Linked DNA regions of Diceros bicornis minor. The protein of the gene in region 2 purifies or fractionates together with the protein of the main gene of each other region. This does not show direct contact. Links are inferred from orthologs where the notes say so. Each region holds a gene or a part of one and is shown on either strand. Other genes may lie near its edges.

Evidence for each region.
Region 1: the proteins of LLGL2 (region 2) and DCAF1 purify together in Homo sapiens (co-immunoprecipitation; 3 studies listed by BioGRID and IntAct, counting the BioPlex papers as one, with this or other methods). This does not show direct contact. The link is inferred for Diceros bicornis minor from reciprocal best matches to the Homo sapiens genes LLGL2 and DCAF1.
Region 3: the proteins of LLGL2 (region 2) and RAD18 purify together in Homo sapiens (affinity purification with mass spectrometry; 3 studies listed by BioGRID and IntAct, counting the BioPlex papers as one, with this or other methods). This does not show direct contact. The link is inferred for Diceros bicornis minor from reciprocal best matches to the Homo sapiens genes LLGL2 and RAD18.

What each region holds. Positions count from the first base shown.
Region 1 is NC_080741.1:52,254,939-52,259,101, forward strand, and holds the start of DCAF1 (DDB1- and CUL4-associated factor 1), read right to left. Parts: upstream 3,090-4,163; 5' UTR 2,921-3,089; intron 1-2,920. UniProt on the Homo sapiens protein: Acts both as a substrate recognition component of E3 ubiquitin-protein ligase complexes and as an atypical serine/threonine-protein kinase, playing key roles in various processes such as cell cycle, telomerase regulation and histone modification.
Region 2 is NC_080757.1:55,973,197-55,977,359, reverse strand, and holds the start of LLGL2 (LLGL scribble cell polarity complex component 2), read right to left. Parts: upstream 2,471-4,163; 5' UTR 2,367-2,470; intron 2,340-2,366; exon of another isoform or gene 1,549-2,339; intron 1-1,548. Other genes in the region: TSEN54 (tRNA-splicing endonuclease subunit Sen54), read right to left, coding at 4,011-4,161. UniProt on the Homo sapiens protein: Part of a complex with GPSM2/LGN, PRKCI/aPKC and PARD6B/Par-6, which may ensure the correct organization and orientation of bipolar spindles for normal cell division.
Region 3 is NC_080741.1:71,259,582-71,263,744, reverse strand, and holds the start of RAD18 (E3 ubiquitin-protein ligase RAD18), read right to left. Parts: upstream 2,777-4,163; 5' UTR 2,706-2,776; coding exon 2,655-2,705; intron 1-2,654. UniProt on the Homo sapiens protein: E3 ubiquitin-protein ligase involved in postreplication repair of UV-damaged DNA. Postreplication repair functions in gap-filling of a daughter strand on replication of damaged DNA.

The sequences.
Region 1 (4,163 bases), on a different chromosome or scaffold from region 2:
GGTCCAGGAGGGAATGCCTTTTGGATAACTTAAGCAATCAGCCTAGTGGAACACATAAAGGGAAAGTTTAAAGAAAATACTACCTCTAATAAAGGTCAGCACAAGCACAGTAAAATACTAAAATTTTCAAGTTCAATTTAGACACATACATACTTCTGGTATCATTTTCAAAACTTCTGATTAATTATGCCTGAGAATAATTATAATTTTGAGAATAATCACTTGCCCAGGGAAAATATAAACTTACAATAGACTAAAACAATAATATCAATGATAATTCATTTTAGTATCAATGAAAAACTATTAATAAAAAATGTAAAAGGTGCAGTCATCTTGTTATACACAAAACAATGAAGGTGCATTAATCAATTTACTATGTTTGAAAGTGAGTGCTTTAAGTGGTATGCAGAATTTACAGCCTGCCCTATAGTGACACAACAGTTACCACTTAGTGAATAATAGTACGGGACAGACATTTGGCTAAGTAATTCACTACGTTATTCTGAATTTTCACAACCAACCTTCCCCTTTTTTACAAATGAGGAAATGGGCTCAGAGAGGGCCCCAAAACCAACCAAGTGTTACTCGGTAGAAAAGGGTTTCAAGCATCAAATCCCAACTCTGTGGACAAACCTGTGAGATCTCGGTCAAGTTATTTAACTTCTCCAAATCTCAATTTCCTTTTCCGTAAAATGGAAATGGTTCTTGTGAGGGTAAAATGATAATACTGTTCATACAGTGGAATAATATAAAGCCCTACAAAAAAATACATAGAATGTCTTTCTTCTAAAGCATGGCTGCCAAGGTATTTAGGGGTATGATGTTTCTGCATCTTATTTCCCAACGGTTCCACAAAATAAAGAAATATACACCACATTTATAAATAGAAAAAAATATGACAAAATAGTAACAACTGTTGAATCTGGATGGATAAACAAGTGTCATTTTACTATTCTTTCAACTTTTTAGTATGTTTGAAAATTTTCATAACAAAAAGAGAAAAAAATTAAGAAACATTTCCTTTCCTAATTTGAACCAACTCTCAAATATATTGTCAAATGAGAAAAGCAAAGTGTGTGTGTGAGAGAGAGTGTGTGTGTCCCTAGAATAAAATATCCCTGGAAGAATACACAAGGAAAGGATAATATCTATCATGTGTTAAGTAATTGACTTTCTGAGGGTTAAAGATAAGAGAAAGATTTTTCTCTGTATGTTATTACCCCAGCTCTACAATTTTTCCACTATTTTGTAACCTTTCGTAACTTTTTAAACCATAAAATCTGTCCTCTTCTAATACACAATACTGAATGGCATTCAACAGAAACTATCCCAAAGCCTAAAATAAAGTCCACATTAAGGACAGATTCCTGCAAGGTTACAATCCTGAAACAAACATCTGAAAGCGTTCTTCCTTATTTTAAAAAAACAAAAAAATGGGGGAAAAAAATCCAAGTTTGGAACTTCAAATAAAATTTATCCAATAATTAGCATGACATATAAGATCATGTGTAACAATTGTCTATTCCTGTCCATGACCATCTCCTTTACAAAAACAATGTAAGAAAACTGGTAATAAATCAACTTCAGTCACTTCAAACTAACAAGTGGTTCATTCTACCAGACTCCTCCTCTATTAAATTTAACAACTGTACAACAGAAAGAACAGCAGAACACTGCTCAGCAACCACTCAAGAGATTTTGAGCATAAAATGATCTCCTTTATATTCCCCAAATTCTGTATCTATTATCTCAATATCCACAAATATATTACCGCTGGAAAGCGCATAAGGTAAAACTGCTATATAGAAAACCCAAATCTCGACAGCAACAAGCAGAAAAATACCAAACGAATTCCTAAAGAGTCTAAATATACAAGCTTATATAAACCTTAAAGGTAAACTCCAGTAAACTGGAGAAAGAAAATTACAGAATGACACTGTCAATGAACCTCACTCTGTATATTAACAAAGCGTTTAGAACAGGAACATGCTGCTAATATAAATTAATAATTAAAGCACGTAGACTAATTAAAAGACATCATTGAAAAGACAGAGTAAGGAAAAACTGAGGCCAACATGACGTGAACAAGGACGAGTCATTTGGGACTCAAAAAGAACTACTACAAACACTCCAAAACCACTTCAACAAATGTGAAACCCGAGCGCTAACACTGCAATAAGAGGAAGTGACACGGACAGCATCTAGGAAGAGAAGAGCCAGTTAAGCAAATGCCTCTGACACCACAGTTAAAAACAACTATAAAACCCCCAGAAATAGGCTCCCGGGAAGCTTGGTGGGCACTTGGAAGGTTTGGCTCCACGCTGCAAGCCCCGCACACCTCTCTCCACCCCTCCGCTCCACCCTCGGTGTGACAGAACTGGGCGGAAAGCTCCGCCCCCCTAACCCGGGTCCGAGAGCCGGGCCACGCAAGGGGAGGTGGCACGAGGCCGAGGGAGGGGAGAGCCCGCCCAGGTGACTGGAGCTGGAGGCGGAGACAGTCTGGGAAGGGGCCCGCCGTACGGCAAGGAAGATGGAGCCCCCCAGCTCGTACGGAACCGAGACTGGGAGGATTGGGAAGAAAAAGGTGACGAGGGGAATAAGAGGCGCCCTTCCTCCTGGTAGGGGTGGCACAGTCCTGCCCCCCACTCCGAGCAGAAGAGTTACTCTCGGAAAGCTGCTTTCGCGGACTGGAGGAAGAACGTGGAGGCCCCGCCCCCAAGCCAAGAATCTGGAGGAGGAAAAGTCCTGTCAGGCCCCGGGCCCAGCCTCCCCAGCGGGCCGGCCCGCCCCCTCCCCGCCGGCGGCCCAGGCAGGTGCCGCCCCTCCCCCAGCCCGGCGCCCACTCTCCCGCCCGCACCGCCACGCGCCTTATCTCCTCGCGCCCCTCCCAGAGAGCCGTCTCCTTCCTTTCCCCACTCACCTTCCCGGGCGGCTCCGCCGCTCCCCCCTGACCCCGCCAGTGGCCACAGTTCACACACACCGCCTCAGGTCCCGCACTCACTCTCCCTCACTCACACACAGCGCGACCACGGCTCCGGAACGGCCCACATATTATGCGTCACTCGCGTGCTACGTGCCCCGCCCCCCCCCGCGCGCGCGCGCGCGCGCCCCGAGTTGGCGCGGGGCTTGCTGGCAGGAGGCAGGAGGAGAACGCCAGCGCCAACGGAGGAATATCGACGAGCCCCGGGGCCGCCGGGAAATGAAGTTCCGCTTCTAGGGGCAGGGCCCACTAATCTTGATTTGCGCGTAAGCACTTCGCCCTCGCGCATTGACTTCTGGAATTTGTAGTTTTTAGCATAAACACCAACTGCTGTGTACTCATTGGCTGCTTCGGTAGGCGGCAGCGAAAAGTGAGGCACTCAATGCTCCCAAGCCAGGGCTGTTAGGGCTTGATACCTTGTCAGTACCTTTTCTGCCCTGTGTGACAGGGGGGAGTCCTTGTTGTATTCTCTCGTTTGCCCCATTATACCTAGAACATACCAGGATGTAAGAAAATATTTCTGGCAAGCATATCAGAAATCATAGCACTCATTAAATACAAGGCACTGGTTTTCTTTGTCTTTCTGTTCAAGACCTAGCCTGTAGGATCAACAAATATTTATCCTAGGTAAGGAAAAAAAATCAAAAGGACATAGAGTAAGGCAGGGCTGACCTCAGAGGTCATCTAATTCGTTTATTTTGCAGCTGGGAAAAATGAGGCCCAGAGAGACTGAGTGACTTGCCTAGCATCACACAACCAATTAGCTTGGGAGCAGAACCAGAACTATCCCTGACTCTGACTCAGGGATCCCTTTTTAGGGACATGAAAGATAAATGTGACTCCACAGCTTAACAGAATCTCTCCCTCACAACATGCTACCCAGCTTTTGTCTCCCTGGGAGTCCTGAGCAAGTTTCTGTGCATTTCTATGGAGTCCTCACAGCCAACACTTTCATGGGGGAACACAGGACACAGCAAGCCTGCTGCCATGCTCAGGTTCTGTAACTAGTAAGAAGTTAGCCAGAGCCTAGAAGCTTGATTCCATTCCCCACTGGACTCCATTCCCCTTCTTTCCAGAAAACAGACCTCTCTCCTTCACTTAAGTGTGTAACTTGGAGCAGGTGTTCAGGCACAAAATTCTAGAATGTGGAGTGGCAGCACTGCAGACATGTCACCTCTCTGCA
Region 2 (4,163 bases):
CTCTAGGGGAGAGAGGCTCCTGGGGCCAGGAAGTCCTGGCAGGAGAGGACACCCCTTTCCTAAATGAGGTTGAAAGGAAGCACTTATGGAGTTCCCAGAAAATTTCCTTAAGGACAGCAGAGCAGCACAGGAATGTGCTCCCCCCTAACAGGGTGCAGAGTGTATATAGCCAAGCCCTCCCCAGAGCAGATCCGACTCTACACCCCCTCCCTCCCAGGAAAGGCCCCCGGCTGGAGTCTGGCCATCAGGCCTCACTCCTGGCTCTTTCAAGGAGCAAGGAAGTACCCAGGTCCCCTGAAACACAAGGTGAGGTTAGGAAAGGCCACTGTCCTCTACCTCTGCACCCCCTACTCTCAAGGAGCAACGTCCTTGTTTTAAAAGTTTTGACTTCCAGAGGCTTTCAAAAATCATGATCTCTTGGCTGATTTCTGGTCAGAGAAGCCAAATTCCCTCACAATCCATCAGGCACATCCAAAAGGCCCAGGCGTGTGCCCAAAGGCCTGAAAGTGACTATTCTTTTTATGCTTCATGGGGAAGAAGCTCACCCTCACCTGGTGCCAGCCGGCTAGGTGCCAGGCCACACATATTCGTGACAGTTTTCATCCTGTCAACGTCTGTAAAAACAAGGCTCGCTGAGGCTTGGCACGGTTAAGTGACTGAGCCAAGGTCATGCAGCAAGAAATCAGCAAGGCCCAATTCAAAGCTATACCTGATGTCTGGAAAGACACTAAAACATAATAAACTATGTTTGAGGAAAAAGACGATGAGGCCAGACAGAGAAGTTTTTTCCTCTTATTTTATAATTCCTAAATGTTTCATTTTCCCTGCTATGGGCTCTATTAACTTTTTATTTTTTAAACAAACAGGGGTCATCTGGGATTATAGGCCTTTTTTTCCTTTTAATGCAATTGTGTATTAAAAAGTTACTAAGTTATTAAAATTATATTAATCTGCCGTCGAAGGGGATACTCCATTGCCTCAAAAAACACTAGGGATGCAGAATGACCTCAGACCCTGGAAACACTATCTAGTGGGCCCCAAAGAGATCGGCCCAGTCTAACCAGAAAACAGGAGTGAGCCCTGGTCAGAGCCCCCGGAGCTGGGTCTGAGTCCTGACTGCCATAAGTGAGCACTGTGGGCAAGAAAACCAAATCCGAATTCCCCGTCCATAAAATAAAGAAGTTGGACCATATCTCCCAGGACCCTTCCCACGCCTCAGCTCACACAGACCCAGACTGTCTTCCTCAAGAGCCACTTCTGACCTTGGCTTTCCCTGTGCTGGGCCACAGCTCTTCTACACTGCTGCCCTGTTCTTCCCACCTGGGGCTCTTCTACACTGCTGCCCTGTTCTTCCCACCTGGGGCTTCTCGTCTCCCTGACACACTCATTCCCTCCCAGTTCCCCTCCTCTGCAGCCTGACAGAACCTTCAGTCAAAAACTCTGCAGAGGGTCCCTAGAGCCCAGGTTAAGCTGTCCTGCATCTGGCACATGGATTCCCATGGGAAGGGGCGCTGAGTCTCGGCCCCGCCCACCTCACCCAAAGCTCACCTGTCTCAGATGAGAGCCTCAGGGGGCCACACCACAGCTCCCCTGGTTACAGTCAATTCTCCCCACAGCCAAAGCTCAGTGTGTCCACCAACGGTCCAGCAGGAGCAAACCAAGAGCAGACTTTGCACACTTTCTTGGCAAGACAGAATTTTCTACTCCTCGCCAAGTCCCAACGTACCACAACGCAACTCCGCCCCTGTTGTCGTGGAAAATAGACTGGGGTCTCCGTACCGTCCCCTAAGGTGTCCGAAGCCGCCCGAGGCGGAGAAAGGACCCGAGACCGAAGTCCCTCCCGCGGGCTTCCTGCGTCCGAGGATTAGGAGGCACAAAAGGCCGCCAGGGAGAGGGCCCAGATGGCAGGGGCAGGGACTAAGCCGCCGAGGTAACGCGCTCCGGCCACTGCTCGCTGAGAGAGGGCCACTGGAGACGTGCGTCGCCGGCCTCCCCGGCCAGGCGCCTTGCACTTGGGGCCCGCGGCCCAGGGACCGCGTCTCCGCTCGCAGTGACCCCGGTAACCAGCCGGGCCGAGCACCTGTTTCCCTGCTCCCCAAAGCCAACACTGTTGTTCAAACGCGAACTCCTAATTCTGTAAACACGGGCGGATCGGGCAGAGAAAAGTTTCCAGCTGCACTTTGCACAGGTGTCTTTCTCCCAGACGAGAGGAGCGACGGATCCAGGGCGGCGGGCTGACCTGGGCGCAGCCCTCCCCGACAGACCCGGGGAAGCCGGGAGTCCTGGCCCTCTCCTGCCTCTCCGCCCCCAGTGGCGGGCGTCCTGAAGGGCGGGCCCGGCTAGATGGGTCCCGGCCCGCGCCTCACCTGGAACCCCAGGCCGGCCCCCGCCCGAGGCCTCGGCGTCCCTCGGCGCCCGCCGCCGGCTCCGCTCACTCAGCCGCCGGCCCACGGGCTGCTGGGCGGCTGTCTCCTTCCTGCTCACCTCCGGCGCGGCGAACGGGGGCGGAGCCGCCGCTATTTACATAAAGGGCGAGCCGGCTGGAGCCGCGGAACCCCGCGCGCCAGCCCCAGGGGCCCGCCTCCGGCCCCGCCCCGGCCGCGCCCCCCGCAGCCCTACGCAGACCGGGCGGGGGCGCAGCGGGGGCGCAGCTAGGGCGCGCTCGGGGGGCGAGGGCCGCGCTCGGGCCAATCCGCGGCCCTGAGGAGCGCGGGGGCGGGACCGCGGCCCGCGTGAATATGCACGAGGCGCTGCCGCCCCGCCCCCGGCCTCACCTGCGCGCACCTGGTCGCAGTACCGCGCGCCGCGCCCAGTGTCCCGCCGCCTCCCGGATAAGTAAATAGTTCCCGGAACGCGCGGGGTCCGGGGCCACCTCCCAGGCCGACTGCAGAGGGGAGCCGTCCCTCCCACAACCCGGCCCCGAGCTGCTGAGGGAGGGGCATAGCCCGGCTGGCTTTTCCTGAGCGCACTCAACCCAATTAGAGAGGGTAACAGGCAGACACAGGGCTAGGTTTCGGGACCCAAGAGCCAGAGGTGGCATGGGGACGAGCGCGTCGCCCGAAGGCGCCTCCCATCGCAGCGAGCCCCAAGCCTGGAATCCCCGCCGCCGACTTGCTGCTGAGGCAGGCAGGCGCCCGAGGCCCCGAGGGACAGCAACAGCGACCGGAGTTTTTAGAACAAGGGAGAGGGTTGGAGCGACGAGAGGCGGGAGCGGAAGGCGCGCGGAAACCCGGCCCGAGGCCGGGGGCGTGAATGGCGCGCTCCACCTCACAGCTCCAAGCGACTAAGATTCAAGCCACATCGACCTGGCCCCTCTCAGACGCTCTTCTACTCGGACCCGGCTGCGTTCAAGGAAGGTCCGATGGAGCGCCGGCTCGCCTCCTCGGACTGCCCTTCAGAAAGCCAAGCTGACTAGAGGTCTGACTTCCCATCCCCTCCGGCGCAGGCCCTGAGAAAAGTACCGAATTTCGTCCCCGCCCTCCCGCGACCTTCTTTTAGGTCCCAAACCGAGACAGCAGCGCTCTCTGTGGGTGAGCAAAGCAAGGGTGAGGGCTTAGGGGTCAGTTCCACGGACAACCGGATGGGGGGGGGGAAGGTCCTGCACTCCCCGAGTGGGGCTGGGGAACTTGTTCACTGTATCCAGCCAGCAGAAAAAGCATCTATTTTTTAATGGCTTTGGCTTTATTGTATGAAGCAGGCACCCTCTCATTTAAAGGCACAGAGTCCTCTCTTCTGCCCCACCTCTCTGGGTCTCTGAAATCTAGTCCTGGGTTCCAGAAGGATCACTGCAAGGCAGCAATCTCAGGCCTGGGGCTTGGAAGCACTGCAGCAGCCAGGTGTGGGGCACAGCTTCACTCTCCTGCAAGCATCTGACACCCAGGGCCACGGCCCAGACTAGCCCCTGCAGGTACAGGTCAGAGTCTCGGTGAAGGAGGCAGCTGAGATGGTCCCTGAGAGTAGACAGTCCAGGTCCCCCAGAGCAAGCCCCAGGCCCTGCCAGGGCTGGGTGGTCAGTGCTCCAGATCCCTGGGTAGTGTGAAGTCCCTGAAGCTGTAGAAGGAGATGTCTCCGTGATCCACCAGGGCAAAGATCAGAGGAACATCCCCACTCTGGTAGGACAACCGCTTGAGGGTGCAGAGGTCTGGGGCTGGCTCATCAAACCT
Region 3 (4,163 bases), on a different chromosome or scaffold from region 2:
ATGCATATACACATTGCAGGTATGTGTGTGCACAAGGCACACACAAGAAAAACTAAAGGAAAATAGAAAACGTTAAACAGTGGTTATCTCTGGATGGTAGGATGATGGGTAATTTTCATTTTCCCCTTTATCTTATTCTGAATTTTTATGTTTTTCTACTATACACACATGCTACATTTATAATCTGTCAAAAATAGAAATTTTTGTTACAATAAAACTAGAGAAATAAACATTAAAATGCCAAAATCTTCCATTATTTTGGATGGTAAGCCAGCACTGACACAAAAAGCTGGATTGTGTTGAAGACCAGTTAAGAGCAGAGGCAGGGCTGGAAGCCAGAGCCCTGGCCTCAACTCTGTTCAACTTGCTTCTACATAACCATCCTCTTCCAGAGGAGTGGCTCTGATAGATCTGCTGAGCGAAATTTGTGGAAGGTGACACCGCATCAAATGAGTTGTAACAAGCCTGTATAAATTTCTAGTCATGCCATTTCAAGCCAGTAACATGCATACCACGTGTGCCTCAACCAAAAAAAAAAAAAATAGCCTGAATAGAGAGCGGTCAAGTGGATTGCCCAGGATTTCTTTAACTTAGAGAGACAAAGTAAAAAGGGGAAGTGGGGAACGGGTGAAAAGACTAAATAATTAGAGCAAAGGTTCTTAAGTTTTTTGGGTCACAGATCCTTTTGAAAAATGGATGAAAACTATGGACTCTCTTCTCAGAAAAACATACACATAGACAAAAATTTTATAAATAATTCCAGATACCAAAGTCTTTCCATGGATCCTAGGTCTGGAACCAAGGATTCAGGAGTCAGATTTCTATTCAACATAAGAAAGAACTTCAAACAGAGCTACTTCTGGGAGCAGGTAGTTCTTCGTCCCTGGAAGAGTTCAAGCAAAAGCTAGATGAGAAATTGGCAGATATGCTATAAAAGGGATTAAAATACTGGAGGGAGCTGGCTTTCCAACCTTAAGATACCATGATTCTAATATGGGCTCAATCAACTCCATCACTGAACACTCTCTGGTGCTGTCCCTGTATTAAGTGCTGTGGTGAGATACCAAAACCAGAGGAGACGTGGAACGTGCCTCTAAAAAACATGTGGAATATATAAATATGTAAAATATGCTTAAATCTACAAAGCAAGTGCTTTACAAGTTACAGAGCTTTCACTTCCTTTATCCAATTCACTCTTCATAACAAGAAATACAAAGGAGGGGGGAAACACTTAACACGTTAAGGGCTAATAACAATAATAAAGATATATAATTGAATGCTTACTACCTTCCAGACACCTTGAATCAATTAGCAAACAATTTCTGAGCATCCACTATGTGCCAGGCACTCAGTTACGCACAATGAAAAAAGCCAAACAGGATCCCTATCCAGATACATCAATTCATTTAACCAATCCTATAAACTGTTTATTTTTGTCTCAGATTTAGAGTTGAGGAAATTCAAGCTCAGAGAGGTTAAGTAAGTAACTCACCATCACACGGTAAATAAGAGGCAGAGACCAGATTTAACTCAGGAGCACTGAAACTCAAATCTATGCTCTTCTCCATTGCAGCTTGGTGCCAAGGCCACCACAACTTCAAAACTACAGCTTTCGTGGATCCTTCCACAATGTCAGCTTTTCACCATGGGGATATCTCAAGGCCCCAAGCACTGTAGATGACACTGATGACAGCAGGACGAACAAGGCCTTATACTTACTTTAACTTCTCTCAAGTCCCCTTACTTGACTCTCAAAATCAGCCTTACGAGTCTGTGGGACAGATACCATAATCCCCAAGTTTACAAAACTGACGAACAAAACGAGAACTCGATCTTGCCCACAGCCACAAACTGAAATAATCACAGAGCAGGGAGCAAAACCAAGCAACTGATTCTTAGGTAACACAGCAAAGTGTATTCGCTCTTGACTAAACCTAGCAGGAATCCAGGGATCACCACTAATATAAATGGAAACTGATATGCCTTGCTAAAAACAAAGTAGCCACAAAAATGTGTTATTTAAGTGAAATAATTCAATGAAATGAAAGGCTAGTGCTGAGCCTGAGTCCTGATCTCTTTGTTTAAAAGAGAGATGCACAACTGTTAGGAGTTAGGACACATTAGGGAGGAGTTAGGACAAACCAGCGCTAGGCTTCCAGAGTCTAATTAGAAGAAACCAAAGAGAATGTAAAGGAGACTACCTGCTTCGCTAAGTGATTAAATAAATGTTATTTGATGCAGGGTCCACCCAAAATCACGTCTGGTGTCACTTTGGGAAATCTCAACCAACATACTACGAGAGTTTACATAATGCTTAGCAGATAGCAAGCCCTCAGGAAGGATTAGTTGTCATTGTCGTTCTCATTGTTGAGAATAACTGTTTTTCTCGAGGTCAGTGTTATGGTTGTGGCTGAACCGCAGAATACCCGGTTCCATACGACGGCCAACTTCAACTCACGTAAGGGACCGAGGCCTGTCCCTGTTACTTCTCAGGGGAGGAAACTGAGGCGCAGAGCCACGCAGTCGGCAAGCGGCAGAGCAGAGCCGGGTACCCTGGCCCAGCTCCCTGCTCGCGCCTCCTCCCTTCTCCTCCTCAAGGCGGGGCAGGCCTCCCGCGGACACCCGGGCGCCCCCAACCTCCCCGAAGCACTCACTTTCATGACTGCCAGGCCTGGAGGCCACCGAGGCTCAACTACGGAGTCCATGGTCTCTCCTACGGAGGCTGGGGGTCCGCCAACCACTGGCCTCTCGCGCTCCACTGCCACTCGAAATTCCCCGCGCTACTGAGCTACGTCAGTATTCCGCGACGCGCCAAAACCGTGCGCAGAGCCTGCCGGGAGTTGTAGTACGTGGGCGGAGCTCAGCCAAAGATGCTCTCACTGCGCACGCGCTAGGCTGCTGCTTGGCAGCTTGCGACAGGAGGTGAGTAGTTAAAAAGCCCACATCCGGTTTTGTACCAGACCTTTAATAAATAAATGCCTGTTGAATATTGGAAAAGACAACCGGGAATCAAACTAAATCCAGGCCTTGCCAAATCTTTCAAAGTCTAGACTCATGCCTCCTTCTTCGAGTCACCCTCCCTGATTGCTCTAGTGATCTATCCTTGCCCTGAGCAGGGGATTTCATACATGTTATTTCATCTCACCCATCACAGCACGAGGAGGTAGGTATTATTGTTAGTTTACACAGGAGGAAGCTTCGGCTCAAAAACGCGAATAGGCTGTCATTGCGTCACGCGGTGTCACTGACCAGACTACAAATAGGGCCTCGAGACTTCATATGGGAGCTCTTTTATGAATTTAAAATTTTAACTTCAAAGGTTAAAGGTAAGGTGGTTAGAGATAACCACCTTAACTTTGTGTAGCCTTCCAGATATTTCCTATTCAGATACATAGATACGATTTTTTCCACAAATGTTATTATATTAAATGCATAGCTCTATCAACTTGAGTTTTTCTGTTTATTTAATCGTACATCTTGAGACCTCTCCATGTTAATACATATAGGTTTACCTCATTCTTTTTAATAGCTGCATGGTCCATAGTATAGATGTAACACAATTTCTTTATCTACTCCCGTACTGAGGAACATTTAGGTTGTTTTCAGTTTTTCACTATTGCAAAGAGTTGCATTGAACACACTATATAAATCTTGGCATACTTGAGCCTGGATATCTGGGAGATGATTTCCTATAAATGGAACTACTAAGTATATTTGGATGCTCTATTAAAACTGTGATAGCTAGCACTACATGATTTTTCCAAAAAGGCCATACCAATACATTTACGTTCTTACCAAGAGTGCCCATTGTCCAAATGTGAAGCACTGACCAGCGCACCACCCAGCGTGTCTGCTCAATTCAGCACTCGTCCACTGCCCTAGGTGGGCCTCCATTGCATCAGGTCTCATGGGCAGCAAGTCAGCAGTCATGTTGCTCAGGGCAGACCCCTGCAGCTTGCCACTGCCCCCTCATGTGGTCCATGCACTCATTCATTCAACAAATATTTTTCTAAGTGCTTCCATTGGGCAGGCACTCGAGCTTCCCTGTGAAGTCGGCAGAGGTAAGGTTATTATTGCCATTTTACAGACAAGGACACTGAGGCTCAGAGAGGTTAAGTCTTCCATCCTTTGGGCTGTCATCATAAGGAACCTCTGGCCTCTGA